Caenorhabditis elegans: one gene and its partner. The protein of the gene in region 2 interacts with the protein of the main gene of each other region in a pairwise test. Each region holds a gene or a part of one and is shown on either strand. Other genes may lie near its edges. The genes, in order: fbxa-171 and pcmd-1.

Region 1 (6,957 bases), on a different chromosome or scaffold from region 2:
CTGCCAATAATTGTTCACACATGATATGTTTCAACCTGATAAACTTTAATATAATCTGTTTTAATTTTTTTTTGTTCCTATGTTGTTGGAATTTTTTTGAAATTACGTTTGATTTTAAAAATAAGAAAGTAAATTGTTCATAAAAAGTAATCATACATTCTCCATTCGTTCGACTTATCATCATTTTTCAGAGCACATGGAAAAAGAGTTTCGGCAATTCTTTAGTCTCTTTGTCGTACAACTTCGTTTTTATCACCCGTGTTAAAAAAGAGAATCAAGCAGAAAAAACGAAAACGGTAAATGATAAGAGTTTTTTTTTTCAATACACACATGTTGTTTTACAATAAACATCGTGGAGAGTTTTTTTTCAATTCAATTTCTCTTCAAAATTTTTCAGTTTTTTATTGTCTCAATTTCAATTTTTGCTCGTGGTTTAAGCAATGCATGTTTTGCAGTATGTCCACAATAACAAGTTAATTCTTTTAGATAGTTGAAGTTGTAAAAAATGGATGAGTCCTCTGGGAAAAATACCACGAAAAACTGTGAAAAAACACCTGAATCACCGTGAGTTGTTCTGCAATTTTCAAGCAAAATTAGTTAGTTTTTTTTAATGTTTCAGAGTCCACACGCTTTGTTCGTCTCAAAGTGAGAAAAATCAATATCTTGGAAGTCACAAAAAACATGATTCATTGAATGATATTTTGGTTTGAGAGAAAAACATTAAAGCTGAACAAAAAAAAATTCAGGGAATGTCGTGTTCACCGGAAAGGATGCCCGTGAATCGTACACCAATAATTCCAGAGTGAGAAGAAGTTTCTTCATTAAAACATAAATAGCCACAATTTCCGTTTCAATTAAAACAATTATTATTTCTGACTGCTTATCTTCTGAAAATTAATAAGTTTAAAACACAAATATTTCAAGACCAATATTCCAAGTGGCTGTAACTATACCAAACAGTCAAATTGCAATCCGCGCGTGTATCCTTTATGAGCATCTTCACGGGAAGATGCTTACAGTGGCATATAGAAACTTCTGCGACAAAGTTGGGAATGGTGTCATTGAATTTGAGTCTTTTGAGTTTTGGTTTAATCAATTCCAAACTGGGAATCATGATTTGAGATATGATATTGAGTAATAAAAAAAACAATGATATTTGGACTATGGTTAAACTTTAGAAATTCAGGAATGCGCTTGAACCTCGTTCTTTGGCAGAAATCACTTCTACAGCCATGGCTTCTGGTGTGCTTTAGTAGAGCTGTAAGTCTTGTGAAGGTTGTAGGGAGTAATTGGGATATTCAGATCCGAAAGCAAATCAAGGAAATGTTTGGATGGAGCTCAGAGCAGCATATTGTCCAAATTCGATCTATTACAAGCTGAACAGTATTGTTTATGTACTGTTGAAAAATATATGTATGATTGCTACAACATAAAAGAGTTAAAAGTTATTTTATAAAAATCCGAATCGATAAAATTATATTATCCGTTTAACTTGAAATGAATTAGGAGTAATTTTCAAAAGGAATTTTTTGTTGTGTCGTGTGTAATTTATTATCGGCCATTGATTGCTTTGATATCCTGGTACGAATACATTTGCAATTTCAATTGGATCGAAGTCGTCGGATTCGAAGTTTGCATATTTGAAAGTGTCGGATTTCATCAAAATCTGAAACTATGTTAATTGTTTATACTTGAAGCGTAAAGTCTGCAGCAAATGCCTAAGCCTAAGCCTAAACTCCTAAGCTCAAGAGTAGTATAAGTCCCACACGACACCCCCATCCCACACCAGACCCCCCTATTGACCTCTCCCAAAATGGGGTGTCCATCTATGGATGTCCATTTATGGATGGCCATCGTTTTTTATTGATCTGTTTTTTTCGTTTATCATGGAACTGTTTTTTATTAGGAAAAAATGTTGTACTGTATGGGAGAAAATCTGAAATTAAAAAATATTTGAAATCGAGTATGTGGAATAAAATGTTTTCATTTACACTTTTAATATGTTTCATTGTGCACCCCTCCTCTCTATTACTCCGCCCCACTGCACAATCGAAAATCTCATAGTCAGTCTAAAGAAATTTAGAACATCATTATCCAAGTTGACACTTTCACGACAACAAGCCCCTACACTGAAAGTCATAACTCCTGGCCCTTCATATGGAGCTTGCAAGAAAACTTAGGTCATCCGAAAGCTGTGTGCACTATTAAAGAAATTTCTTTAGAATGAGTTTTTTGATTGTGCAGTGGGGCGGAGTAATAGAGAGGAGGCGTGCACAATGAAACATATCAAAAATGTAAATGAAAACATTTTATTCCACATACTCGATTTCAAATATTTTTTTAATTTCAGATTTTCTCCCATACAGTACAACATTTTTTTCTAATAAAAAACAGTTCCATAAAAAACGAAAAAAAAAACAGATCAATACAACAGAACAATAAAAAACGATGGCCATCCATAAATGGACATCCATAGATGGACACCCCATTTTGGGAGAGGTCAATAGGGGGGTCTGGTGTGGGATGGGGGTGTCGTGTGGGACTTATACTACTCTCAAGCGTGAGCCTAAGTCAAAAACTTCAGACTTAAGCTTCTTGGTGACCTATACGTCTCTCTGTGAAAATTCGCGTTGATCGGCCAACTGGAACCCTCTCAAAAATTTTAAAAAAAAACGGGAAATTCTTGAGCCTAAATACCGTCAGTGGCGAGCGTTAGATTGGCAAGCGTCAGCTCGCCAAGCCTAAGCCTGAGCCTAAACCTAAGCCTGAGTTTAGAATAAGATTATGCTTAGAACTGACCCTAAGACTAAACCTAAACCTAAGTCTAAGCCTAATCCTAACCCCTGAACCATTCAAAACTTACATCTCGAATTTTAATCGCATCATCTTTTGCGAAAAGATCCACAGTAACGTCAAAATAAGCTAGATGGAAGAACTTTTCAATGTTCATGGAGCAAGTGTCACTGTCAAAAATTAAAGCTTTTGCATTTTTCAGCTGAACTGTATCCATTAATTTTGTGCTATGGCCGTCTGTAGAAGAGGCAAAAAAGTGAACAACTTCGAGCGTTTTAGGCTCGAAGTACGGCAGGATTGCGTCGATTTCTTCGTTTTTCAATTCACAAACTAGTTTTCGGACTCGTAATTTGTTCATCGATCTCAAGACGTTCAATACATCGTTGAAAATGTTTTCCCGAATTTGCTCAGACATTTGTGCTTCAAAAAGTACGGAAAATGTTCGTGCGTCTTTAGTCACTACTGTATTGAAATCTTGAAGCGCTATTTTCCGATAATCTGTTCCTTTGATTTGAATTTTTCTGTTCTCGTAGATAATTGTGCATCCGTTTGGTACTGGGCAGTAGTTGACGGTTCTTTCGTTCAAAAATAGTCTTGCTTCATCTTTTTCGAAACATATTCCCATGGCGTTAAAATGAAATTCTTGTTGGTCAATTTTGTCACGGAGAATGCGCGAAACTTTTCTGGCCACGAATCTTGAAAAATTTTGGATTGAAACCATATTGACTTTTAGATGAAATTTATGCCATTTGAGAAATCGTTAAAAACATTTTTGGTCAAACATTTGTTTTAATTGTTTTTTGAAAACTTCCCAAAATTCATTTTTTCGGAGACATTTCAAGGTGTTTCTATAGTTGTAAAACTTCATAAAAAGACGATGAAAAAAAATACTTTGATGGAAAAACTCATCTGAATAATTCATATCTACTTTATTGCTACAATTTTTGCATAAGGACCTTTTTTGAATTACATGGGGTGTGTATAGAAGTCTATGACCACACGGTAAATATCATACTTTCTTTATAAAATCTCACCTATCGCAAAGTTCCATTTTGGCACAAATTTCATTCCAAACTTTTTCCGGCATATTCTGCAGGGAAGGTTCTTGTGGCTCACTGAAAAACATTAAAATTTTCTGTAAAGAAGCTTAGCACTTACCCATTAAAATATTCGACGAACTTCCTGCACCACTCTTTTTCGGAAATTTTGTGTGGAACGTCTGATGGTGGATTGATCGAGCAACGCAGATCATTGGAATTTCGTACTTCAATCTGCCTATTATCGTCCTGCAAGTCATGATTACCATTATAAAATCTATGAAACCAATATTCAAATTCTTTGTAGGCAATCTTCTCCTTCAAGGTGTTGCAAATTGTTTCATAGGCTTCATTCACAGTCTTTTTCTGGAGCACTTCGTAGAAAATACAAGATCGAATGAAGGTTTTGGAGTAAGGTTTTTGAGCGGTGGAAGTCATTTTGATATGATGCGCGCGGCAAAAAAATTACATCAAAATTTTAGACTTAGCAATATATCTTCACCGAATTCTTCAGTATTGACATTGGAGTTAGAGGGCACTTGCACTGCTGGAGAGTTAGTCAGAGAAAGGAGAACAGTCGAGCATGTTGTTTCGCAATAAAACATTTTTTTTTGTTGGGTTTATATGTCCTTCAGCAATTGCATTCTTGAACTGGCCTAAATAAGATGTCCTTGCAGATCCGGAAACAAACTGAGGGGAATGGAACTCTGTGCAACTACTTGCTCCACCTTCATATATTTCTAGCTGATGAACTGTAAAATAAATTTGTTTGTATTAGTTTTACCAACGTCTCTTTGACACTCGCCCATTCAAATAGTTACAACACCCTGTTCCATCCTCAGGGTTTTTCAGGATTTTCAAATTTTCGGCGATATGGGCCTACCGGCAAGCTTTTTCGAGATTTTTCCAGATATTAATGGTGTACCAATTTCCCAAACATTGAGTGGAAATTCCAAAAAATGGAAGACGATTGTTATAAGAAATGGTAAGAATATGATCTTAGTTACATTTTTGCGCATATTTCATCCCAATGGACGTTCTTGAAAATTTCTCACAATTTTCTGAAACAAACAAAAGATTTCAAACATTTTTGTGATATATTGCTAGCCACATTCGTCTAATTTTCCAAGTCACATTGTTCCAGTTTTGATATTGCTAATTTGGTAGACCTAATTCTGGTTTGATTCCTCAGTCTCTCTAGTCTCTTGGCGTTGTTGTATACGAACTGATATTATCTCCTCTGATCAAAAACCAAGTGTATTTGGCGAAAACACGCAATCCAAATAGGGATATAAATACGAAGAGAAGAAATTACCCCAAAAAGATCAGGCAAATCTACGGCAAATCAGTAAAGACTTTTTGTATTTTTCGTGGTTTTACTTCTCGATTTCAATTCAATTTATTTTTTGAAAGACTATTTTAAAGTGGTTCCGTCTATTTGTTTTTACATATGTAGTTTGGCTTTTGATCTTCTCCTTTCTAAAAATTGTATTCAATATTATGAGTTACTTTCCCTGCATTTTTCATTAAAAAGTATGTATTTGCCGCACATTCTCCATTCGTTCGACTTATCATCATTTTTTCAGAGAACATGAAAAAAGAATTTCTGCAATTCTTCAGTCTCTTTGTCGTACAACTTCGTTTTTATCTCCCGTGTTAAGAAAGAGAATCAAACAGAAAAACGCAAACAATAAAATTGATTTTAAAAAAACCGCTGTGACAACTCGTTTTCTCATAGCGCGTTGAAAAAATGCTTCTCGTTGTAATAGTTTATTCCAATTTAAATTTTTTTGATTTAGCAAGAAACGACTTTCTTAGTTCGTTTTTCAGATTATCCGAAAAACTAAACATTAGTAAAAATGGATGATCAGCTTGAAAAAAATTTAGAAGTAGGAGAATGGAAAAAATGTGAAGAAAAAGCAGAATCTCCGTGAGTTGTTTCGCAATTTTTCAGCAGAGTGAATTAAGTTTTTGTTAATTTCAGAGTTGGGAACCCTTTTCTACTTCATTATGATCACTTAAATCTTTGTGTTTGAATGCAAAAACACTGTTACTAATTAAGAGCGTAGTTTTTTAGGGAGGACCAACTAATTATGTGGGGATGCAAATTACACCAATAATTCCCAGGTGAGCAAAAATTCTTACATTAATACAGAAACAGCTGCAGTTCTACTACAATGGAACAATCAGTTGTTATATATACCGTATATTCTCTATTAGTGTTGTCGATTCAGCCCTTCGAGGTCAATCTCGACAACCTTTTTAACAGTGCTCTGATATAGGTTTCTACGGAATAGCCCACTATTCTTAACCTATATCAGCTCGACCGCACCGTTGAGCATTACTCCAATTATTATCTCTTCATTACATTTTATTTCATTCAAATCCGTTCAGTATTCGCCGAGATATAAATATATCTATAAATATTCGTATTCAAATCACGCGCCAACACCTTATGGTAGCGCGCTCGCGGCGAGACCCACGCGTCTCTAACTTCTTGGCATCGCGCCAAGTCCACCGACCGCCCGCGGGGAGTTCGAATATGTCCGTCAATTGTGACGTAATTGAATACCAATTCCGGTGTAATCTCCACGTATCGTTTTCCCTCACGTGCAGATATACCATCATGTTCGTTAGATTTATATCTTTAATAACAGTTTGAACTATTACCAGTCTAAATGACCCATTATCATCATTTCACCATCATATTCGCCAGACGAGGGTTTTTCACCATCTTAAGAACTTCTAATATCATCCTTATATGTTCTTTGCTGTATTTCCCTCATTTTACTTGTTTTTCCTATTTAGAGTCCTGCTCTACCCACACGGGAGAGGTTGTATAATAAATAGGTTTTTGAGTATTCCTTTGTTCGTCATACACCGCTTATCTTACACAATTCAGATGCTTTATCGGGACACACGGAGAGAGAGAGAGAGAGGTACCGGAGGCGTGATCGATACCGACTACTACCATCCTACACGCCCTCGACATGGTGCATCGAACCGGTGGACAAGGATCGACGTTTAAAAGGTAATCTTTCGTTCAAAAATCGATTAAAAATGCAAAAAATTTCGTCTAAAAATATCAAAAATTACCAAATTTATACCAAAATCTATCTTCAAAATT
Region 2 (9,853 bases):
GGGTAAAATAGACCAATCTTGAGCAAAAATCACAAAAATTTGCAATTTTTCTCAAAAAAAAAACAGCTAGAAATTTGAATTTTTCCTACGCTAAAACCAATTTTTCAATAAATTTTTGTAGAAAAGTCAAAAAAGTTGACGTTTTCGAGATTGGAAACGGATAAATTCGAATTCTCTGTAAAATTTCCAAAGTTTTGAGCTCCATATCGGCCTATTTCGGAGCAATTTGAGTTTTCGGGCTCCGCGAGCCCTGAAAATGCTCCAAATTCGTTTTTCACCAAAATAGGCCGATATGGGGCTTAAAATTTCGGAAATTTCACGGAGAATTCGAAAATTAAGGTTTCAAGTCTTGAAATCTTAATTTTTCGGGTGGTTTTTCCAAAAAAAAAATTACGTTAAAAAGAAGTTAAAAAGAAAAAAGTGCTTTTGCTCAAAATTTGGCGCGATTTTTCGCGAAAATTAGTCTTTAAAAAGTGCATTATGAATAATTTTAATTTGTTGAATTCTCGACACATGTCCTCCGTCATTTGTGAGATCCGCGAGCCTATCGAGCACACGATTCAGCGTCGAAATCCGCCCAAAATGCTCCAAGTGAGCATCAGCAGCTTCAGCTTCCACAGATAGATTTCCACGAAATTTCCGTTCCAAATGATCTTTTTCCGCCAAAACTTGATATTTGAACAAAAGAGTGACGTCATCACGTGGCAGAGCATTATTCAGTAGTCGACGGAGCATATCAAGCCAATCCGGATGCAAAAGTTTAACTGTTCCCATGAGTTGCTGGGTTACTGTAGCCAAGGAATGGGCGGAGCCATCTGATGACGTGGCACTACAGTATGGTGGCCGGCGCGGTTGAAAATTTGAAATATTTGAAAAATTTGAACTTTTCACTGGAAAATCGTCCAATTTCAGAGTTTTTTCCGCAATTTTCCGAGAAATTTCCAATTTTTGAGGAATTTCCACCGGAATTTCAGGTTTTTCCACAATTTTCGCCGTTGAAGCAGTTGTCGGACGATCGGAGCCAGTTTTTGAAGCTTTTGGTACTGTGGGACGTCGCTGAACGGGTTTTGAGCCATGAATTTGTGCAGATATCGTTTTTCCGCCGAAATGACGAAGATTGCTGAAAACAATTGCGGGGTTTTTATCGATTTTTCGAGAGAATTTTAGCAAATTTTCGTATTTTTCTTGCCAAAAAATGCAATTTTTCCCCGATTTTCGCTGATTGGGACTAAAAAATCCGAAAATTTGTGCTCAAAATTTCAAAAAATTGTCAAAAAGTTCAAATTTTGGAAAATACGTTATTTTTTACCCGAAAAATTGATTTTCAAGCATTTTTTCGCTTTAAAAACATGAAAAGTGCGTTTTTTTGCGAGAAAAATCGAAAAATTGCCATTTTTGCCTTTTTCAGACTGAAAAATCAAAAAATTGGCTCAAAAATTCGGAAATTTCAACAAAACTATCAAAAAATCCGCTAAGAAATTGATAATTGGCTCAAAAATAGCAAAAAAATGGAGAAAATGTCTCAAAATATTCGATTTCCACAATTTTGCACTAAAAATTTGAAAATTTAATAAAACTCGGTGATGGGCTCCAAAATTCACAGCTCAAAGCCAAAAAATTGTAAAAATGGGGTGTTGGGACCCAAAAATTCGAATTTTCCGCCAAAAATCCGGAATTTTAAGCCCCATATCGGCCTGTTTCGGTGTAAATCGAATTTCGAGCATTTTCAGGGCTCACGGAGCTCGAAAAATCGATTTTCACCAATAGGGCTTAAAAATATGGAGCTTAAAATTACGGATTTTTGGCGGAAAATTCGAATTTTTGGGTCCAAGCACCCCATTTTTTGGCTTTGAGCTGTGAATTTTTGAGCCAATCACCGAGTTTTAGTAAATTTTCGAATTTTCAGTGCAAAATTGTGGAAATCGAATATTTTCAGACATTTTCTCCATTTTTTTTTTGCGATTTTTGAGCCAATTATCGCTTTTTAGTGGATTTTTTTTGTAGTTTTGTCGAAATTCCCAAATTTGTGACCCAATTTTTAGATTTTTCAGTCTAAAAAGCCAACAATGACTTTTTTACGGCAATTTATCGATTTTTCTCGCATAAAACGCACTTTTCAAGTTTTTAAAGCGAAAAAATGCTTGAAAATCAATTTTTTGGGTAAAAATAACGTATTTTTCCAAATTTGAATTTTTTTTTGACTATTTTTCGAAATTTTGAGCACAAATTTCCGGATTTTAAGCCAAAAACTCCAATTTTTGTCGATTTTCAGCACGAATTTCGCACCTTTCCGCATCTTTTCTCAGTCCTTTTCCACAAATCTCATCAATATCGAGTGGTGGCGAAAAAATCGGCCGCAGTGACGTTTTGATGACAAATCTTGGCAAAATGCCAGGTTCTTGGTGCTCAATTCGAAATTCGTCGAATTTTTTTTTGGTTGGGCTCATTTGTACGGTGGATATCGAGTGACGGAGGGCTCCGGGAGCTGGAAAAATGGAATTTTGGGGAATTTTTAGCATTTTCAGCTGAAAAAATTATTTTATATCTAAATATAAAAAATTATATCTATTTTCAGTTTTTTCTGCAAAAAAAAAATTAATTTTTTTAAATGAAAAATATCGAAATTTTTACATTTTTCGATTAAAAACTTATTTTTTCCACAAAAAATATCAATTTTCCAGCATTTCCATCTGAAAAATGAATTTTTTAATGAAAAATCTCAATTTTCCAGCATTTTCAGCTCCAAAAAACCTACCAAATCCATCAAAAACCGTCAAATTCGTACGATTTCCACTATTCGAAATCAGATTGCTCATCGAAGCCGACCGTCCGTCACGATTTCGTTCAATATGTAGAGATCCTGGAAAAAAAACCGAGCATTTAATTGCTCCGAGAGCCTATAATTATGGGGGTAGGACGGTGTAAAAGGAGGGGATTAGTGTAATTAGCCACATTTATTCGAAAAAATGAAAATTTGGGCAGAGGTTCCCCGTCTCCGGTGACAAATGTGCATTTTTACCCATGAAGAGTATGAAAAATGCGATTTTCACGAAAAACTCAACATTTATTCATACTTTTCATTGAGCAAAGCTACACAGATGCCACAAGTCGTTATTTTGAAATTTTTGCAAACTTTCGCGACAAGACCCTTGGGTTACTGTAGTTCCTACCTAATTTTTATTTGAAAATATTTCAGGATTACTTTTTTATTAAAAAAAAATGTGAAAAACATGAAAAATCTTTTTTCAATCGATTATTTTTCAAAAAAACCTTGAATATCAATGTTTCTTAATTTTTTTTTCTCCATTTTTTCCAGATTTTCGTGCCAAGACCCATGGATTACTGTAGTTCCTGCCTAATTTTTATTTAAGATTTGTTCTGGATAAAAAAAAACGATTATTCTAAAAACTTGAAAATAAACGTTTTCTAGTTGTTTTTCTCCATTTTTTCCAGATTTTCGTGCCAAGACCCATGGATTACTGTAGTTCCTCTCCCTACCCGATGTATCCGTCGCCGAATTTCTCATAATCGGAGTTTCCTTCTCCAAACTCCTGTGATAATCCTTGAAAACCTGCTCGACAATCGTTTTATCAGCGTCATCCTCCTCGTCGAAAAATTGTCGAATTGTGATGTCAGATTTCGAATTTCGCGGCTCTCGATTCGAGTAGAGCTCCACGAGCTGTGATTCGGAGAGACGAACTGAAAATAAATGAAAATTTGGGCAGCGGTTCCCCGTCTCCGGTGACAAATGTGCTCTTTTGCACATGAAAAGTATGAAAAATGCGATTTTCACGTGGAACTCAACATTTATTCATAATTTTCATTGGGCAAAGCTACACAGATGCCACAAGTCGCGAATTTTTTTTTAGATATCGTTTTTCAGCCGAAATGACGGAGATTGCTGGAAAATTTGGGTTTTTATCAATTTTTCGAGAGAATCTTAAATTTTTGTAATTTTCTTGCGAAAAATGCAATTTTCCTACCGATTTTTGCTGATTGGGACTAAAAAATTTGAATTCCCCGCAAAAATCCGAAATCTTAAGCCATATCGGCCTGTTTCGGTGAAAATCAAATTTCGAGCATTTTCAGGGCTCGCGGAGCTCAAAAAACCGATTTTCATCAAAATAGATCAATATGGGGCTTAAATTTTCGCTTTTTTGATTGGGACTAAAAAACTTGAAAGCTGATTCCCTGTAATTTCGAAAAAAAAAACTAGCAGTTTCTAAAAAATATACATGAATTTTTAAAATTATCAAAATTTTACAGCATTAGCAAAAAAAAAAACGCTAATTCGTGAAATTTGCTAGTTTTGAACCAAAGTTTCAGCACTTTTCTGCCAATTTATCAAAATTTGATACAAAAAATGAAAATTTGGGCAGCGGTTCCCCGTCTCCGGTGACAAATGAGCACTTTTGCACATGAAAAGTATGAAAAACGCGATTTTCACAGAATAACTCAACATTTATTCATACTCTTCATTGGGCAAAGCAACACAGATGTCACAAGTCGTTTTTCTGATTTTTTTTTTCCGATTTTCGTGTCAAGACCCACGGATTGCTGTAGTAAGATACACAGATGCCACATAGCAGTGCAATTTCCGAAAACTCGATTTTCCGAGCAAAAATAGTTGCATTTTTCTTTAAAAAAAATGCTCACAATTCCGCAAAAATTCTAACCAAAAACGCTAATTCGTGAAATTTGCCAGTTTTGGACCAAATTTTTATCACTCTTCAGATAATTTCACAAAAATCTCACTAAATTAACTATTAAAATGAAAATTTGGGCAGAGGTTCCCCGTCTCCGGTGACAAATGTGCTCTTTTGCACATGAAAAGTATGAAAAATGCGATTTTCACGCGGAACTCAACATTTATTCATACTTTTCATTGGGCAAAGCTACACAGATGCCACAATTCGTTACTTTGATTTTTTTGGGAAAAAAAAATCGATTTCCGTGTCGAGACCATTGAAAAAGACACACTGAGGTCACACAAGTCGCTACTCAGTGAATTCCCCCATTACACTCTGTCAACCCTTTCCATCTAACACATAAACCTGCATAGCATGTACCTAGAGACCCCCTACACCGTGGCCTAGTGGCTAGTAACACAGGCATCAAGACCTCACCGCCTGTGTTCAGTTTCCTTCCACACCGCCCGTCTCGTGGCTAATGATGTTCTCTGCGAAATACACAACTTACTACAAACTGATCTTATTTGAATTGAGGGTTACTGTAGCTACTACTGTAGCTACCGTAATCCTCACAGTGTGAACTTAAATTAAAGACTGAAGCTTAGACGGGACCCACGAAATAAAGGGATTTTTGAAATGCGCTCTACTGATAAAATACTGAAAATCCAAAGTTTTTAGGGTTTTTTTTTTCGTTGGAAGCAAGTGCGCTCCGTTGAGAATCTCGTAAAACATATTTATATCCAAGTTTCGGCTCGAAATTCAAGTTTTCTATGGGTTTTTCGGCGATTTTCTATAGATTTTGCCTTTTTTCTACGATTTTAGGGTAATTTCAAGGTAAAAAGGTCAAATTTCCAGGTTTTAGCTTTAAAATGCTCCTTTTTTCAGAATTTTTTGGAGAAAACTCAAAATTTTCACTGTTTTCCGGAACTTTCCGGGTAAAAAGGTCAAAATTTCCACATTTTGGCTTGAAAATTTTTAGATTTGCCAAAATTTTATCTGAAAATTCAAGTTTTATTTTTTATTTTTCGGATATTTCAAGGCAAAAACATTAAATTTGCTTTTTTCAACGATTTTTCGGAAATTTCCGGATAAAAATGCCAAAATTTCCAGATGATTTTCACGGATTTTGGCTTCAAAATTGTAATTTTAAGCTTAAAAATTCGAGTTTTCTCCGATTTTTCGGCAATTTCTGAGCAAAAAGCCCAATTTTCAGAATTTTCGGCCGAAAATATTACTGGAATCGCTGTTCGTTCCAGTTGTTCGTCGTTCTTTGCGCGGTGTCGATGAGCTCAGAGGCTTCGGAATTTTAGCCGATGACATCATCATATTTCGAGCTTGTTCCACTTCGAAGGCCAGTGAAGCTTGACTTGAAGGCCTGGAAAAATACATTTTCAGCAGCGATTTTCACGTTTTCTAAAGCAATTTTGCAAAAAAATAGCTTTTTATCGATTTTTTTAAAGGTTTTTAGCGATTTTAAACTGAAAATTTAATTTTTCTGGAGCTTTTCCGGTGAAAATACGAAAAAATTCAGATTTTGAGTGGAAAATTAATCAATTTTCACATTTTTTGGGTTCAAAAACTCGGATTTCAACTTTTTTGTATGGAAAATCGATAAATTTTCGCATTTTTCAATAGTTTCTCGTGTAAAATTCGATTTTTCTTCACTTACGGCCTCGTATCATCACTGTCCGAGTCATTTTGGCTGCTCAAACGGAAGGTACTATCCGAAAACGTGCAATTTTTCGATTTTTCGCCAGTTTTTTCGGGTTTTTTCGAGTAACTCGCGGAGAGCTTCTTGGCAAGGTTGATCTGAAGAGAAAAATCTTTTTTTTTTATGAAAAAAAAAAGGGGTTTTTAGGCAAAAAATACGATTTTTAAGTGAATTTTCAACAAAAAAACACATATTTTACCTCTTTAAACAGAGATTTTTGTGAAGAAGCCGATGAGCTTATGATCGATGAAGCTTCATCTCTTAAACTGTTGCTGAGAGCGGCATTTTTCTGAAAAATCGAAATTTTTGGGTTGAAAAACGCCATTTTTCTCCCCGTACACTGAAATTTTCGAGTAATTCTTTAAAATTCTTCTCCATTGCGTCCAAATCCGCACTTTTACACTTATTTTTGTGTTTTTCCGAGCGAATTTCCGATTTTTCGCTTAATATTGACAATTTAGTGTCATTCGTCTTCTTAATCGGGCTCGGAATCTTCTTCTTTTTCGACTTTTTTTCGCTCTTTTTCGGCGAAATCTGACATAAATCCAGTCTTTGTGGGAATATTGGCAGGAATTCCTGTCTTACGGACATTTGCGAGCAATTCTAAATGATATAATTGAGAGTTTTTGCTGGAAAATAAGGAAAATCAATATACCGATTCCATAAAAGTCGGATAATCCCGCTGGAGGGAGGCGGGATTATTCTTCAGCGAACTGGAGTCGAATCCCTCGTCGTATTCCACCTCCATAGTGGATTTTTTGCTGAAAATATTGATTTTAAGTGTCGAAATTTTATTTAAAATCATTTTTGAATAGAAAAATCGAAGAAAATCAAAGAAAATCCACGAAAAACCACAAAAAACGGAAATTAAAATCAAAAAACCGCCGTTTGGCGGCACTTGGCAACGTGCCAAGGGGTCGTCGTTGCGAGACCCACCACTCGTATAAATCCATGCGCCTTTAATTTATCAATCATTTCCACGGATTTTCATCGTTGTTTATTGATTTTTATCAGTAACCCAACGAATTTTGTGATAAAAATCAATAAAATGAATTTCAAATTATCGATTTTTCAACATTTAATAACATTTTCCCCCAACTAATCTGGAAATTTTGCAGAAATGCCACATTAAACCGAGAATAGAGCCGGAAAATGTTCAAATGGGATCCGTGCGGGCTCGTTTGTGTGTGCATGATCTATCTACTGATTGCATATGCGGATTATGTGATTCTTATTTGGCTTTTGCTGCCAACTTTCGGGCACTCGTAGGTTTTTGTGGAGAAAAATTGACGAATTTTCGGATTTTCACCAATATTTCCCCCCATTTTTTTCTGGGTTTGAGCATCATGGCACAATTAAATTGAAATAAAAATGCGAAATTCACCCCAAAAGTCACTGATTTTTGGCTAAAAACGCTAATTTTCCACAAAAAATCGCTATTTTTTCCAGAATTTGGACAGTTTTCCACGGAGCCGTCTTCAATTGCCTGCTGGCAACGACGATTGTAGCTCACACACGAGCAATGTTGTCCGACCCGGGAACTGTGCCGATTTCCTCGTCAAAGTGAGGGTCTTACCACGAAAAGAGGGAATTTTGACGGAAAACTGGGAAAAAAATGGGAAATTTCGATTTTCCGAAGGTTTTTGTCCTGAAAATGATCAAAATCTCGGGTTTTCTGGCTCAGAAATGGAAATTTTAAGGGATATTGTGTCCCGACACAGCTGAAACAAGTGCTACAGTACCCTCGGGTTACTGTAGCCCTAGTTTCCACTGTGTAATTGCATTTTTTCTCGAAAATTTTTGGTTTTTAACTCAAAAAAAAATCTATTTTTCAGCTGAAATAGCCGAAAATGGATAAACACAGCTGAAACAAGTGCTACAGTACCTACAATCGTGGCGAGACCCACCCCGGGTTACTGTAGCCCCAGTTTCAGCTGTGTTTATCGATTTTTCACTAAAATCGATGACATTAGTGGAATTTTCAAGAAAAAAAAACAAAACTTTTACTAAAAATAGACATAAAAGCAAATTTTTTTCGAAATTAAAAAAAAAAGGTTTTCATTAAAATAACGTGCCAACTGGTAACTTTTTGTTAAAAAGAAGTGTAAAAATTGCTATTTTCTAGCTCTGACACAGCTGAAACAAGTGCTACAGTACCCCTAATCGTGGTGAGACCCACCGCGGGTTACTGTAACTCCGGTTTGAGCTGTGTAATCGCATTTTTCTCCGAATTCTTAAAAAAAATGTTTCAACTCAAAATAAATCTAATATTCTGCTAAAATAGCCGAAAAATCGATAAACACAGCTGAAACAAGTGCTACAGTACCCCCAATCGTGGCGAGACCCACCCCGGGTTACTGTAGCCCCAGTTTCAGCTGTGTTTATCGATTTTCGCGCGTTATTTTTAACCGTTTTCCACCGAATTTTCCGCATTTCCAGAGGCCAAAACACTCCGAATCCGGTATTTTCATCAGATGAGGAAGATGAATCCGATGAAGAAGCCGTTTTTCGTCACGATCACCTGAATCGTTCATCTGCAACTGAGTGGACAATGTGTACACGTTGTGATTCTCTAAGGCCACCGAGAGCTCATCATTGCAGAGTTTGCAAGCGTTGTGTCAGGAAAATGGACCATCATTGTTCGTTTTTCGGCGCTAAAAATGAAAAAAACAGCCCGAATCGGCTGAAAATCGAAACTTTCACTAATTTTCACCAAAAAAACCACCTAAAATAGACATTTTTGCCTTCAAAATGACTGAAATCTGTGAAAATTAGAGATTTTCACCGCTGACACAGCTGAAGCTAAAGCTACAGTAACCCTGTTGGGTCCCGCCACGACATAGCAGTGAAAAGGGGATTTTAGAGATTTTTTTGAATTTTTTAGCGATAAAAATGCGCTAAAAATCGAGAATTTTTCGGGCAAATCGTGGCGAGACCCACCGCGCGGGTTACTGTAGCATTGATTTCAACTGTGCCAAAACGCTAAAATAATTTTTCGATTTTTAGGCCCCTGGGTGAACAATTGCGTCGGCGAATACAATCAAAAATGGTTTCTCCAATTCATTTTCTACGTGGGAGCCTCAAGTGCATACTCTTTACTGTAAGTTTTCAGATTTCGTGGCGAGACCCACCGGCGGGGTTACTGTAGCACCAGTTTCAGCTGTATAATTGTGTTTTTTCCTCAGAATTCGAGAAAAATTCTAATTGTTTAGGATTTTAAGTGGAAAAAAAAATATGTGAAATTGCCAATTTTTGAGCTTAAAATTCCAAATTTCCAGCTAAAATAGCCGAAAAATCGATAAACACAGCCCAAACTAGTGCTACAGTACCCCGCTTCGTGGCAAAACCCACCGCGGGTTACTGTAGCACCAGTTTCAGCTGTGCCGCTGAATTTTGGCACAAAAATGATGGGTTTTGCGTAAAAATTAATGAAATTTCGGGAATTTTCCGA

What was found.
Region 1: the proteins of pcmd-1 (region 2) and fbxa-171 interact in a two-hybrid assay, tested with the Caenorhabditis elegans proteins (one large-scale study listed by BioGRID).

The regions. Positions count from the first base shown.
Region 1 is NC_003283.11:17,561,736-17,568,692, forward strand, and holds fbxa-171 (F-box domain-containing protein), read right to left. Parts: upstream 4,269-6,957; coding exon 3,952-4,268; intron 3,909-3,951; coding exon 3,828-3,908; intron 3,489-3,827; coding exon 2,864-3,488; intron 1,667-2,863; coding exon 1,475-1,666; downstream 1-1,474.
Region 2 is NC_003279.8:11,604,152-11,614,004, forward strand, and holds the start of pcmd-1 (PeriCentriolar MatriX Deficient), read right to left. Parts: upstream 7,164-9,853; 5' UTR 7,151-7,163; coding exon 7,058-7,150; intron 7,006-7,057; coding exon 6,742-7,005; intron 6,692-6,741; coding exon 6,602-6,691; intron 6,501-6,601; coding exon 6,361-6,500; intron 6,067-6,360; coding exon 5,927-6,066; intron 5,295-5,926; exon of another isoform or gene 5,164-5,294; intron 3,700-5,163; coding exon 3,499-3,699; intron 2,861-3,498; coding exon 2,756-2,860; intron 2,486-2,755; coding exon 2,287-2,485; intron 1,121-2,286; coding exon 460-1,120; 3' UTR 1-459. Other genes in the region: dhhc-7 (Palmitoyltransferase), read left to right, coding at 7,555-7,667, 7,852-7,965, 8,842-9,041, 9,409-9,502.